Linked DNA regions of Diceros bicornis minor. The main gene of each other region encodes a partner of the protein of the gene in region 2 in a complex. Links are inferred from orthologs where the notes say so. Each region holds a gene or a part of one and is shown on either strand. Other genes may lie near its edges.

What was found. The genes of interacting proteins can lie anywhere in the genome.
Region 1: bromodomain-containing protein 8 (region 2) and ANP32E share a complex: the UniProt entries of both Homo sapiens proteins name them as parts of the SWR1-like complex. The link is inferred for Diceros bicornis minor from reciprocal best matches to the Homo sapiens genes BRD8 and ANP32E.

What each region holds. Positions count from the first base shown.
Region 1 is NC_080743.1:54,715,673-54,723,018, reverse strand, and holds the start of ANP32E (acidic leucine-rich nuclear phosphoprotein 32 family member E), read left to right. Parts: upstream 1-4,329; 5' UTR 4,330-4,630; coding exon 4,631-4,684; intron 4,685-7,346. UniProt on the Homo sapiens protein: Histone chaperone that specifically mediates the genome-wide removal of histone H2A.Z/H2AZ1 from the nucleosome: removes H2A.Z/H2AZ1 from its normal sites of deposition, especially from enhancer and insulator regions.
Region 2 is NC_080740.1:56,788,963-56,796,574, forward strand, and holds the start of bromodomain-containing protein 8, read right to left. Parts: upstream 3,040-7,612; 5' UTR 2,735-3,039; coding exon 2,716-2,734; intron 1,490-2,715; coding exon 1,393-1,489; intron 1-1,392. Other genes in the region: kinesin-like protein KIF20A, read left to right, coding at 3,822-3,986, 5,805-5,894, 5,997-6,116, 6,709-6,847, 6,964-7,151, 7,238-7,367, 7,549-7,612. UniProt on the Homo sapiens protein: May act as a coactivator during transcriptional activation by hormone-activated nuclear receptors (NR). Isoform 2 stimulates transcriptional activation by AR/DHTR, ESR1/NR3A1, RXRA/NR2B1 and THRB/ERBA2.

The DNA.
Region 1 (7,346 bases), on a different chromosome or scaffold from region 2:
TTCCAATCTGGATGCACGAACCAGAATTAAATAACGTATATGAGATGTTGCAAGACAGCATAGGGTAAATGCTGAATAAATAGAACATTTAATAAGTCCTAAGAATTCAGAGGAGGTAAAATCATTTTGGTTAAGGTAGAAGAACAGCATAAACAAAACTAAAAAGAGCAGAATGACTATCACCTGTATAGAACAAAAGGGCGCTAGTGAGACTTGAGCAGAAAAATGTTTACTAGGGAGATGTTCCAGTTACTATTGCTGCATAACAACTCCCAATTTAGAGGCTTAAAATAATGATCATTTTATTATCTCTCACGGTTTCTGTGGGACAGGAATTGGGGAAGAGCTCAGCTGGGTGGTTCTGGCTCAGGATTTCCTATGTGGTTGCAATCAGACAGTGGCTGGAGCTGGAAAAGTTGGGGGCTGGAGAAGCCGGGGGCTGGGTGGGTACCTCTCACTCTCTTCATCTAGGCTTGAGGCTTCTCCACATGATTTTTCCTATAGGTTAGTTTGGGCTTCCTCAGAGGGTAGGTATTTGGAGAGGGCCAGTGTCATATGTTGGGTTCCCCAGGAAGTAGACTCTGAGATGAAAACAGCAGTCAGGACATATATTGGGGAATGATATTGGGAGCAATATCTGTGGAAGGGTGGAGAAGGAAGCAGGATTAAGCAGTGGGAGAAATTGAATGGCAATGTAGTCCTAACAAAGGCCTCAGCCAACCCGCGGCGGGTGCTCTGGAGCTGGGATCAATGACCCTTCAGAGTTTGTCTAAGTTGGGCAAAAGGGCTGGCTGGGCCTTTATATCTCTGCGGTGATCACTCATTGGATGTGGGCTGCCCCTAGAAGAGGGTATATATAACCCTGGGCAAGGCAATTTTCTTCAGCCGAGGTAATCCCCTTCAAGGCAATCCCCTACAGCTGAAGGTCATCTTCCAGCAGTACTCCCAGTACTAGGGGGAATAAGTCCTTCATTCCTGAAGAAATTTCTGGGAGATGCATCACAGTGTTCACCACAGCCCTGACAGGATCTGTGGCTTTCAGTAGAGGGACTGGGTCCTTTTGTAACCACCTGGCACTGAGGAAGTTGGGGAATAAATGCTCCCACCTCACCATCCTCCAGACTTCCGATCTCCTGCCAATGCCTCTCCCCCATGTACCAAACCCAGCAAGTCATAGGACTCTGGGTTTTGAGTCACAGAGCAGGGTGGATGGAGAAGGGTGAAGAGTGGATCTGGAGGGGCAACAGAAGATGTTCAGCAGCACAAGATGAGTTTAGTTTTTGAACGTTAAGGACATGTTGAGGGGCCGGCCGGTGGCTTAGTGGTTAAGTGCCCGCGCTCCGCTACTGGCGGCCGGGTTTGGATCCCAGGCGTGCACCCACGCACTGCTTGTCTGGCCATGCTGAGGCGGCCTCCCACATACAGCAACTAGAAGGATGTGCAACTATGACATACAACTATCTACTGGGCCCTTGGGGAGAAAAAGGTAAAAAAAGGAGGAGGATTGGCAATAGATGTTAGCTCAGGGCCAGTCTTCCTCAGCAAAAAGAGGAGGATTAGCATGGATGTTAGCTCAGGGCTGATCTTCCTCACACACACACAAAAAAAGGACCTGTTGAGTTAAATAATATCCTGATGCATGCTTCTTTTTGGTGGATTAAAGCAGTGTTCTGAACCACCCTCTCATTCATTCCACTCCTTGCTCCTTTGCTTTCATCCACCTCCTAATTACTTAACCTCACTCTTCATTCTACCATTTAAACCCTGCCTCATTACTTCAGCTTCAAACATGTTCTAAGTTCATGAGTTGGGCTTTTCTCCTGACTATATTTCATTTTTTCAGCCTTCATTTAGCTCCATACACCCATCTACAAGCCTGGTAATGTTCTTCATCCAGCCTCTTCTCAGGCACCTTTCTTTCTGTGCACCAACCCTATGGGGAAATCTTTCCTCCCCCAGCATTTTATTTATCCTGGTTTCTTGATTAAGACTGGAAAGAGGTAAGTTTCAAGGTACTGAGATAATACAGATGAGAGATGATATGAGGGTGGGGACAATGGTTATGGGGAGAAGGCCCATTTTGGTGGATCCCTGTCTAAGCTTACTATGGTGTACTTTCTTTTTTTTTCTTTTTTTAAAGATTTTATTTATTTTTTACCCCCAAAGCCCCAGTAGATAGTTGTATGTCATAGCTGCACATCCTTCTAACTGCTGTATGTGGGACGTGGCCCCAGCATGGCAGGAGAAGCGGTGTGTCAGTGCGCGCCCGGGATCCGAACCCGGGCCACCAGCAGTGGATCGCGCACTTAACCGCTAAGCCATGGGGCCGGCCCTATGGTGTACTTTCTGAAGCTACTATCCAACGGTAAAATGAATTCATGGCCTTTTCTCACCTTCATTCTTTCCAGCATACTCTCCCATTCTGTCTAATGTGTTCCAATACAAAAGCCCTACTATTTAATCCCAATAATCATCTCTTCTTTGAAGCTCTTTGGCTTCCCTACATTTTTTCCGAATTTACCTCCTTCTTTTCTACCTGCTCCTCAGTTTCTTTGATTACTTTGGTAGAGAATCCCTCTCTCCTCTCTTTCCCCTCAACCATATTTTGATCTCTTCTGCCTGATAGTCTTCTTATTATACATATTCTCTGTGGACATCTTATTTTTTTCTCATGGCCTTAACTATCACTTGTATGTGCCTGACTCCTAAATCTGAATCCCCTTCCTTGAACTTTCTCTGGGATTCCATTCCAGATTCCAGACCCTGCAGTGGCTGGTGGGATCAGAACACAGGACTTCTTCCCAAGCTGGAACTAAAATGTGCTTTCAGGTTTCTTTTTAGCCAGTTTTTTCCTTCCTTTGTTTTTTAACTCTTCCTTGAACCGTTCCTCAATCCATTTTGGTTCAGTTTTCATATCATCCTGGGTTTCTTTAGTCTGTATTAAAGCAAATAAACAACAAACAAACTTAACTAACTCCAAATTGCCCTCCAGAGATTTAATTTTATACCAAAATCTCTCTCTTTGTTTTCATCTTCACAAACTTTCCTCTTTGAGAATTCAAAGGAAACACTTGGCAAGGGGAAGACAATCACTATTTTGTTTTCTTTTAAAGTATTTAACATGCTAAATACCAAAGATTTACATTTTAAATGTAAGCCTATTTGAGGAGCTGTGTGTCTCTGTAGCGGGGTAGGAGGGGGTGGTGCTGGAGTGGTGAGGAGTCTGTTCCGGAAACCCTAAGGTCTCTAACCTGAGAAACTGGAAAAATATCAAATAAACACTCAGCTCTGAGAGGGGCTGGACTAATTCACCCACTTCCTTCCCCAAATCATTTGGAATTTCTTTGGGTATTTATCCTGAGAATGGGATAAGGGAATGAAAAGGACAGAATTTAAGCAAGAACTAAGAAAAGTTAGACTTTCAAGACATAACTTAAAAAATTATTCTTATCCCGCTCTTTTCTCTCTCACATTGACAGACTTTTAAAAGCACGTTTTACCTACAGATTTCCATGGAAACCACCAAAGGGAAATTAGAAAGGAGAGGCATTGCAGTACCATTTCTGTGCGAATTGATGTTTGATTTTCATTAGGCTAGCACTGTTTTTCCTCCAAGGTTTTAGTGTTTATTAAAGCAACAATTATCTCAGTAACAATTCCTCCAGGGTAGTTTTATTTAAAGGTGCCTAACCTATATACTTCACCCAACTGCTTTCAAAATCGTTCAGTCCTTCATGACGGAAGTTAACACACATCTTTATACCAGCTTGGTTCTGCACCAGCAGCCTGTCCCCGGCAGGGCAGAGCCACGAAGGCATGCTTTTTGTGTGATGTGCACGTTGCTGTGCACCTTGGCTGCAAAGCAGGAGCTGTGCTTTAAAATGGCTAAGAGCCAGTACATGCCCTGTGCTGAATTATCAGTCACGCAACCTGGCCACGCAAGAAGGATGCTTTCTCCCTCCCGTTAACACTAAAACGAGAAAAAAACCCAACCAACAAATCCAACAGGCATCAAAACCTTCCCTGCGCCTAGGGAAAGCGCGCCAACCACACAAAGAAAAGAGGGGGGCTACTGGGATTCAAAATCATTTCCCCGGGACGAACACCCTCCTGGACCTATCGGAGTTAACTGCGCGCTTGGTCGTAGCCAATAGACACAGTGTTTCTGGTTCAGGTCCGCCCTGAGGACGGATAGACTTTTATGCAGTCCAATGGAAGAGTGTGATGCTGGAGCATTAACCAATACATTCGGGAGGTGGGTGGAGTGTAGGCCAGGGGGTTGGCGGTGCCGTGTCATGGAGGCTCAGTCTCTGAGCAGCCATTGAAGGGGAAGGAACTGCGGTGTGTGTGTGTGTGTGTGTGTGTGTGTGTGTATGCGCGCGCGCGTGTGAGTGCGCGCGCGAGTGTGTGGACAAGGAGGTGGGGGCAGCTGAGTTAAGAGTCCCAACTCCTTGGACTCCATTTGATATTCTCTTTTTTCTCCCCCACACCTATCTGGTGGTGGTGGGCGTTTATATTTGCGTTTCTTTTCATTCATTTCCAAATCTTTTAAAATTTTAGGGTTGGGGGTAGTGGGAAAGGCAGGAAAGGGTAAAGGAGGAGAGTAGTAGCAGAAGAGCAGGAGGAGGACATGGAGATGAAGAAGAGGATTAACCTGGAGTTAAGGAACCGAGCCCCGGAGGAGGTGAGATGACTCAGCCCCCTCCCCTTCTCCACTAGCCCCGTATTGGGAGGATCGGGTTTCTGGGGGTCCCGGTGGGTGTGTGGGGAGGGGTAATGAATTAAGACTCACTTGGGGTTAGGGTTGGGGGGAAATATTTAATTTCAAGTTTTAAATCATTAAAATCTTTTACTTAAAATGGCGAAGGGTTTAAGTTTCTAGGGGCGTTTTGTGTGTGCATGGGGGCTTAGCCCTTTTCGCCTCTCTTCGAGTCAGGCGTCCTGGCCTCGTGGGGGCGGGAAGCGGGGTGTTGGGGCCCGCTCCGCCGCTGCGCCCCCCATGTTCCTCCTCCTGGGGGCCGGCGGCGTGGGCGCGACCCCCCAGTCCCGCTTGCCCCTGCCGCAGCCATCGTTGCCTGAGAAGTTAGTCCAACTTTTCTGCAGTGCTGCCAACTCTTTTATTTAGGCGGGGGGGTGCCCCCGGCCTCGAGGCCCTTGGGCGTCCGACGACGTCGCGCCCGGCGCGGGCTGGGGTCGCTCGCGGAGTCCGCGGACCGCCCGCTGCCGGCTGCGCCCACTCCCCCGGGAAGCGGCGCGCGCCGACCGCCGCCAGGCGGAATCTGGGTCAGCGGCCGGTTCTCCGGCCGTGGGGAAGTTTTGGGACTCGTCGCAGTGACCAGAGGTGGGGAGGGGACGCGAGGCGCAATCCCCTTCGTCCCCCGCGGTATAATGAAATTCGGCGTGTCGTGTCGTGGTGGCTGCAACTCCGAATTTGGTCCCGGGAGACGGTTTCACAAAACTCAACAAATGGGTCGTAGTAGTTCTGCGCTTTAAAGATGGGTTCGGCGAAACGAAATGATGCGCTCTCGCTGCTGTCGCCTTAGTTAAAGAGACGGGGTTGGGAGGGGCCACGTGAGGCGGGGTCGCGGTCAACTTTTCAGGGGTCGGGCAGAAGGCGTTTCCGCCTCCTTTTCGAGGGCGCCTCCTCAGCTTCCCCCAGCCATCCCCGCCCCGGGTGGGGGCGCTAAGGGAACACGGGCTGGGAGGCGACCCCTTTTTCCCTGGGGAGTCTCCGCCCCGCGTGGGGTTTCCCGTTGGTCGGAGCGTAAGGTCGAGAGAGCGGGGCCCACGGCCAGCAAGGAACCTTGCACTTCTGGAAGCAGAGGAAAGCGTCAAGAGTCTTACTAATTAATTGCGGCCTCTGAAATAAACCTTAGAATTGGAATGACAGAGATATAAGTTTTTTTCAACAAGGGTGGAGGTGGTGCCTGTGCATACCAGCATTGGGGACGAGTGGGGTCTGTCCGGTGGGCTGCGGCGGCGTGCAAACTGGGAACCCAAGATCTTTATGTACTTTTCAAAAAAAGTCTGTTTTCCTGAAATTGGCAGGGGGCAGGGAGGAGGAAACAGCCGCTGCTGTCATCCCAGAGAGAACTTGAAGTTTTCTACGGCCTTCTCTTTAGGGGCTTCAGGAAAAAAACAAATCAAACTTAAAAAGCTGCCTCTCAGGAGCACACATTTAGAATGCTTTTTTATGTTTTGGGTTGGAAAAGCGGATTTGTGTCTCCCCCGCCTTCCCCCATTCTTTTACCTACCCTATCCGTAGTAATTTCCTTGCCAGTTTTGGGGAGTGCCGGATGTTGCCTTTTTGCAGCCTCTCCTTCCTCTCCTGTGGTGTAATAACGGTCTCTCATATCTATATAGCTCTTTACAGTTTACAAAGCACTTTTCTTGTTTGTTATTTACTTTTGTCTTTCGGACAGACTTGTGAGGTGGATTGTATTGTATTGTTCTAGAATCCAAATTAGCAAACGGAGTCTCAGGGCAATGAAGTTATTTAGGAAGAACTGGTTTTCTGACACCAAATCTAGTGGCCCTCTCTCCTCCATTCAGCTCAAGTAGGAGTCAGAAGACTTGGAGTGGAGGCACGGCTGTGCCACATAATAAGTATGCGGTCCTAGGCAAGTCATCCTTACCCTCTGGGCCTTTGCTGCCTCATCTCTAAACAGGAGAGCATGATGCCTTCTCTGCTTACTGAAATAATTATGTCCAAGTCATATTCAAATAGAGAAGGTGGCATCCCTTGATGCTAATTTTTAGCCCTCAGAATACCTCAAAAATATTTTTGCATTGGGAAAGGAGAGCCAGAGTCTCCTGTCTCCTCCTTAAGATTAAGTCCATTTAGGCCCACGCCAGAAACTTTGGTTCTACAACTCTGACCTAACAGAGGATCCATCTCCCCCTTCCCAAGAATGGGGAGAAGTCACCAAAATGCTACCAGAGTGGCAGGGAGAAATAACATTTTGTCAAGGATGTATTGTTCTGGGTGATATTGTTTGGCCTCAATATTAGAACAAATAACATTCGAAAGCTGGACTGTCTCAGAAGGAGCTTTCTAACATTTCTTCCTGAAGGATAACAAGGTATTTTTGAGTTATGGTGGCATTTATCAACCAAAGATAAGGGCGTTTAAATTGAAAAAGTGAATAAAACAATTTCCTTTCGTCTCCCTGCTGTTTTGGGCAGCTCGCTTGAATCCTTTCCCAGTAGCCTGGGTATCCCCTCAGTGCATAAATATATGCCCTGATGTTGAGAATCCTTCTTATCATGGTCAGAAACAAGTTTCACATGGGACCTTTTTCAAAGTTTTATTTTTTATGTGACAGTGATTTGAAGCAGGCATTGAA
Region 2 (7,612 bases):
GGAGGATTGGCATGCATGTTAGCTCAGGGCTGATGTTCCTCACACAAAAAAAAAAGAAATATTGAGTGCCTAGACAATTCAACAAATACTGGGTACTGAGACAGCTGGGTATCTAAATGCAAAAGAGACCCCTGCCTTACAACATACACAAAAATTAACTCAAAATGGATCAAAGACCTAAATGTGTAGAGATAAAACTATAAAGCTCTTAAAAGAAAATATAGAAGTAAATGGTTTCTTAACTATGACACCAAAAGCACAAGCAACAAAAGAAAAAATAGATAAATTGGACATATCAAAATTAAAAACTTTTGTGCTGTAAAAAATACCAATCAAGAAAGTGAAAAGACAACACACAAAATAAGAGAAATATTTGCAAATCATCTATCTGACAAGGGATTTCTGTCCAAAATATAGAAAGAATTCTTAAAACTCAATAATAAAAAGATAAATAAACCAAAAGATCTGAGCAGACATTTCTCCAAAGAAGATATACAAATGGCCAATAAGCATATGAAAAGATGCTCAACATTAGTCATCAGGAATATGCAAAGCAAAACCACAATGAGATACCATTTCGCACTCACTAGTATGGCTATAACCAAAAAGACAGACAATAAGTGTTGCGGAGCACACAGAGAAATTGGGGCCCTCATTTACTGCTGGTGGGAATGTAAACCAGTGGGGCCCCTTTACAAATAGTTTGGCAGTTCCTTAAAAAAGTTAAACATAGAGTTACCATTCGTCCCAGCAATTCCACTCTTTCAAAAGAATTGAAAACATACATCTGCACAAAACCTCATATACGAATGTTCATAGCAGCATTAATTATAATAGTCAAAACAAGTGGAAACAACCCAAATGTTCATTAACTGATGAGTGGATAAACAAAATGTGGCATACCCATACAGTGGATTATTTTAGTCATAAAAAGAAATAAAATACTGATACATGCTACCATTTGGATGAACCTCGAAAAACATTACACTAAGTCAAAGAAGCCAGTCATAGAAGGCCACAAATTATGATTCTATTTACATGAAATGTCCAAAATAGGCAACCTAGAGAGACAGAAAGTAGATGAGTGGGTTGCCTAGGGGTGGGGGGATGGATGTTAGGGAGGTGTAGAGGAGATTGCAGAGTGACTGCTAAGGGGTAAGAGGTTTCTTTTAGGGGTAATGAAAATGTTCCAAAATTAGACTGTGATGACGGTTGCACAACTCTGTGAATACACTAAATTCTGTGATTATACTGGCTTAATTTTATGGTATGTGAATTAATAAAGCTGTTAAAAAAGAAATACTTCTCAAAGGTTAGTATGGAATCCATCAGTGTAAAAAAATACCCAACAGTTTCTAAGACCCATGAAAGGAGACATCCTAGATACCTTACCAATTTTGATCTCCACTCCTCATGACAGAAGACGCTAAACACAGCTTCTCTCGGATAGACCACGGCTCTGTGGGGCCAGTACTCAGCAGCTTGTGTTCTGAAATGAGAGAAGGCTTAGAGACAACCACTAAGACAGTGGTTCTAAGCCCCAAAGGCAAGTGGCCAGCCCAGTGGCACAGCAGTTAAGCGTGCACACTCTGCTTTGGCAGCCTGAGGGTTCCCAGGTTCAGATCCCGGGTGCACATCAACCCACCACCTGTCAAGCCATGCTGTGGCGGAGTCTCATATAAAGTAGAGGAAGATGGGCACAGACGTTAGCCCAGGGCCAATCTTCCTCAGCAAGAAAAAAAAAAAAGAGGAGGACTGGCACCGGATGTTAGCTCAGGACTGAGCATCCCCACCAAAAAAAAAAAAAAAAAAAAAAAAAGCCCCAAAGGTAGGACTAGACGCCTAATACAAAACAATACAACCAACTTTTAAGGACAAAGAGAGCTATCACCAAATCTTGATTTTCATCTTCCTAGTAAAATGCAACCACTGAGGCGGTCCCTATTGACTGCATGCGAATTGTACTCTATCTGGCAAAAGATTTTATTTCTTCGAATGCCATGTCTACTCTGCTTTACTCAAAAAAAAAAACGTGGGGGGAATGTCAGTTTCCCTTCAGTTTGGGAGAACCGCCTTATATTTAAGGCACTTCTCCCAAAACGCCCAGTTTTAAGAATACGTTATTCCAGTTTGAACGCAAGGGCTTATTTCCCACGACTCCGAGCGCCACCCCCCCTACCCCGCCCCCACTGCCCCGCCTCCTTCGCAAAAACTTGTTTACTTCTCTCAGTAATTCCACTTCCCTTTAGCTGTCGGGCTTAAAAGACCTCTTCGATCCATGAAACACACGAAAATGGCTGAGATGCATGAAACCCAATTTCCCCAATGGCACAAAAAGCTCTCGGTTAAAATACCGGGCCTCACAAACGTTAGTCAGAAAATGAATGCCGGCCACTCCGTATGGCCCACAGCGTTTCTCCACCCGCGTGTCCGAGTCTCTAGAGCACCTTTATCTCTCACCCCACAGAGCTCCCAAACACACAAGGATTCACTGAGCTGCTTCTCTCAAATCTCCGCGGCCTCCCTGAGACACAAGATTCAACACGGCTAGGCCCCTAACCGTTGGCCTTCACGACACCGTCGAGCAAAGGTCTCTGAAGACCCTGGGCTCTCAGGCAAATCATTGCTCCTACTCCCTAAGCGTGTGGCAGAAAATCTGGCGCCTGGCCTCCGCTCTACAAACGCCTTCCACGCAAAAGCAGCCCAGATACTTACTGCCCGTTCCTGTAGCCATCTTGGCCCCGATGTCTCCAACCCCGGAGGCGAGACAGCCTAGCAGGGCCGAAACCCGGGGAACTCTGGGAAGCAGAGTCCGGGAGTTTGTTCGCGGTGCCTCCTGGGAAATGGAGTCCCACACCCCAACGCGCGACGAAAAAGCACCCTAAACCAGGTCTCTTTGTGCGCACCTGGGAAGGAATGTGCTAAAGAAGAACAAAGGATGGCGGCTGAAGCCTCAGGATTTCCTTTAGGCTTCTTAGAAAAGAAATACCTAGGGTTCAAGAAAAAGTGTTAAGCGGGCAGGATTTCAGCCGACCCAACTCCAAACTCCGACAGTTGGTAACCCGGACCCACATTAGAGCGGAGAAGTCAAAGCCCCGAGCAAACGGTCTCCCAGCCTCGCCCGCCCCCTTTCCTTGCGCTGATTGGTAGCTGCAAGCTTCGCTATCTGATTGGCCGAACGAACGCAGCGCGTAATTTAAAACATTGTATCAGTAACAAAAGGTGTGCCTCGTGGGCGGAGTTGTGCTCTCTGGCAGCGAAAGTCCAGGTTCGGCGGCGAAAATCAAGGTTCGGTGGCAGAGTGTGAGTGACCGGAGAAGGACCAAGTGTCGCGTCTTCAGGTGAGTGTGGGGCTGTGCTGGAGCCCAGCTGGAGTACCAGCTCTTGCCCTCGCGGAATAGGCTTTCAGAAAGCGGTGCTGCTGCCATCCCTTGTTTTCTTAATACCTCTGTCCTCACTGTGGGCCTCCGGCCGAGGTTGGAGAAGGAACCTAGCCTACTGACACTACCTCCACAACACCGGTGGGCAAGGCACCCTGCTTGGATCGTGGCCTTCTGCTTTTGGAGCCAGATATCTGTTCATTCCTGTTCGAGGTCGGAAATGCTGCCTCAGGCTGGATTAAATGATTAACTCCTCCCATCCCCTTCCCCTCTGCTGGTAGTTGAAGGGAAAAGGGAGTGGGAATTCAGGCAGCGAGACCAAGGTGTCCTGGGGCAAGGGAATTTTTTTTTCTTACCTAGAATTTGCAGCCCCTCTGTCCCCTAAGGTTCTCCTCCCTACCCACCCTTGTCTCTTTTTAGACCTAAGCTGCCCCTGCTGTCATGTCGCAAGGGATCCTTTCTCCGCCAGCCGGCTTGCTATCAGATGAGGAGGTCGTAGTCTCCCCCATGTTTGAGTCCACAGCTGCGGATTTGGGGTCTGTGGTACGCAAGGACCTCCTGTCAGACTGCTCTGTCATCTCCACCTCCCTGGAAGACAAGCAGCAGGTAAAGGAGTTGGTTGGAGAATGGCTTGGGGTACCCAGGCAGAAAAAATTTTCCTTCTACCCTTCTAGGTTCTTCGGCTGTTCTAATAATTAAACTGACGTAAGACAGATTAACTGGAGAAAAACAAATTTAATTTTGTACATACAGGCAGTCAGGCAACTGAGGCTTAGATGCCATCCTGAGCTAAGGAATGGGATAGGGACCTGGGGTTTCAAAGGGGAGGAGGGCAATTCACAGGAAGATAATAAGAGCAGATGTTTGGTAATCAAATGTTTGCCCTGCCATGTAGATAAGTCTTTCAGATAAAAAGTTATCTCTGGTAATAGCTCTCTTTCTGGGCCAGGCCCCCTCTGTAAAATCTTTTAGACAGTTAAGGGAGAGGTAAAGTTTTTCTTGAGTCTGCTGGATCATAATTGCTTTCAGCTCACAATAATCCACTTGCCAGAGTGGCACATTTTGGGGTGGCATATTCTGTTCCCCTTCAGTAGTTTGGGGGCAGAAAGTGATATCCTCAGCCTACTAGTTGTCCATACAGAGTAGTATGAAGTCAAAAACCAGCAATCCTGAGGGTCTGAGAGATCAATTCAAAATTAAGAGATGACAAGTAAAAAATGTAGAGTTGTGTGTCCATGAGAAGTATTATTTGCATTGCATTAATGAAACACCCTCAGTGCATACTCTCAGGTAATCCTATGAGGAAAGGCTAATAGTTCTCTCTCCTTCACCATGAGGCCCAGAGGTGTTAAATAATTTGCATAGGGTCATACAGCCATCAAGTAGGTGGAATGTACATTCAGGTTTTAAAATCAGCCATTGCTTCCATTTATGGAGCCTTTCTTTCTGCTAAGCTGGGTTTCTCAGCTGCAGCATTATTAACATTTGGGGCCAGATAATTCTTTGATATACAGGGGTGTACTGTGCGTTGTAAGATGTTTAGCAGCATTCCTGGCCTCTACTCACTAGATGTCAGTAGCTCCTTCCCACTTGTGACAACCAAGACTACTCTCCTGACATTACTAAAGTTCCCTTGGGAGGGAAATGGCCCTGGTTGAGAACAGCTCCACTTAGAAGTCTCCTCTTTTATAGAGAAAGTTTCATGAAAGCAGGAACCTTGATAATGTCCCTCACTGCGGACTACCATAGTCCCTGGGCCATAGTAGGCAGCTCTCTAAATATCTGTTGAATGAATGAGGTGGGTGCTATTATAACCCCATTCTATAGATGAGGAAACTGAGGCAAAGAAATTTCAAGAACTTTTTTTTTTTTACCCCCAAAGCCCCAGTAGATAGTTGTATGTCATAGTTGCACATCCTTCTAGTTGCTGTATGTGGGACGCGGCCTCAGCATGGCTGGAGAAGCGGTGCGTCAGTGCGCGCCCGGGGTCTGAACCCCAGCCACCAGTAGTGGAGTACGTGCACTTAACCACTAAGCCATGGGGCCGGCCCTAAATAACTTTTTCAAGGTCTCAAAATTACTAAATGATGGAATTGGGACTCAAATTCAGGTGTGTCTGCCTCCAAGGTGCCTAACTACTGTGCTTTGCCTTAATATCACAGGCTGATTTTCATACCGGTCAACAGTTCTAACTCAGATAATCAGTGTGTTAAGCCAGGTTTTCAGGATACTGAAGAGACAGGGAAGGGTGATAAAGTAGTGGAAAAGTCCATGTGTGTTGGAATGATTATGGAACCAAAGAGTAGCTGCACAGAAACATCTGAGGTAGAATGTTAGCGTGATTACCAGGAACTGTGTTATGTTTGCCAATCTTAAATAACTGCTGAGATTAATATGTAGTTCCGGCCTGGAATTCTGCCACAGGTTCCATCTGAGGATAGTACAGAGAAGGTGAAAGTATACCTGAGGGTCAGGCCCTTGTTACCTTCAGAGTTGGAACGACAGGAGGATCAGGTGAGTTTCTGAGGAGGGAGGATTCAAGGTAGAATGATGCAGTACAGAAGAGGTTCCCAGGAACGTTTCCTTCTGTGACAACTGTGTTTTCCCCCTTCTCAGGGTTGTGTCCATATTGAGAATGTGGAGACCCTTGTTCTACAGGCACCCAAGGACTCCTTTGCCCAGAAGAGCAATGAGCGGGGAATTGGACAAGCAACCCACAGATTCACCTTTTCCCAGGTACGGAGGTACTGGTCTGTGAACAAGGGACCAACGTGTAGGGGGTACTTCATTCCCTCTTTAGCGGGAAAGCTTTTTACTTCACTACGAGTTCCTTATATATGCATGTCTACAATTTTGGGGACCCTTGTGTGCTAGTCAATGTGTCAAGTACTTTATATGAATTAATTCCCAACAACTCATTATTATTATTATTATTATTGTCACTATTTTTCCTGACAAGGATACTGTGGCTCAATGAAGGTAATGTTGCTGAAGCCATGTAGCTAGTCATTGGTAGAGTTAGGACTTGAATCTAGATCCATCCATCTCCAGAGTCCACACTTGTGACCATTATGTTGTCCCATTGTGTGTGCAGCATCGGACTTAGTGGACAGCATTCCTTAAGTATTTGTTGATTTGGATGAAAGATGGACTGGCAGAGAGTGGTTGAGTCTGCAGTGTTTAGGGAGCAGCTGGCAGCACTGCAGGAAGAAGCTGCTTGAGTAGTCTCCAGAGCCAGCCACCCAAAAAGGGATGTATCTGCTGGCTCTGCACAGGAGGCAAGTGGGAGATGAAGAATGGGCCTCTGAGAAACTGGGTCTGTCTCTAGATCTTTGGGCCAGAAGTGGGACAGGCATCCTTCTTCAACCTGACCGTGAAGGAGATGGTAAAGGACGTACTCAAAGGGCAGAATTGGCTCATCTATACATATGGAGTCACCAACTCAGGGAAAACCCACACAATTCAAGGTTAGTAGGCCTCATAGGATTCCTGACTGGCCTGTAATGGTGTTGTCTTTGCCTTTTGATGCTCTGAGTTGGGGAACAGCACTTGCCTCAGCTATCTGTCATTCACATACCTCCAGGTACCGTCAAGGATGGAGGGATCCTGCCCCGGTCCCTGGCTCTGATCTTCAAAAGCCTCCAAGGCCAGCTTCATCCAACCCCTGATCTGAAGCCCGTGCTCTCCAATGAGGTAATCTGGCTAGACAGCAAACAGATCCAGCAGGAAGAAATGAAGAAACTGACCCTGCTAAATGGAGGCCTCCAAGAGGTGAAGCGTTGGTGTTCATAGAGATGGGGATAGAGGGACAAATCTCTGGAAAGTTTTGTACTTATCTTCTCCCTGGGCCCCTCCAGGAGGAGCTGTCCACCTCCTTGAAGAAGAGTGTCTACATTGAAAGTCGGATGGGTACCAGCACCAGCTTTGACAGTGGTATTGCTGGGCTCTCCTCCACCAGTCAGTTTACCAGCAGTAGCCAGCTGGATGGTATGTACCATAACTGGGGTCTGTGCCAAGTAACACTAGGAACCCACTCCCTGCTCCCAACAGCTGCGAGGGGTACAGACCAGAGGTTGCAACCTGAGTTCCACCTTCAGAAGACCCTGTAGGCCAAAAGGGAGATGGACTACCCTAGGGTTGATGCCCTATACATTGGCTTCTTCCCTAGAAACGAATCACCAGTGGGCACAGCCAGACACTGCCCCTGTAAGTGTCCCTGCAGACATTCGCTT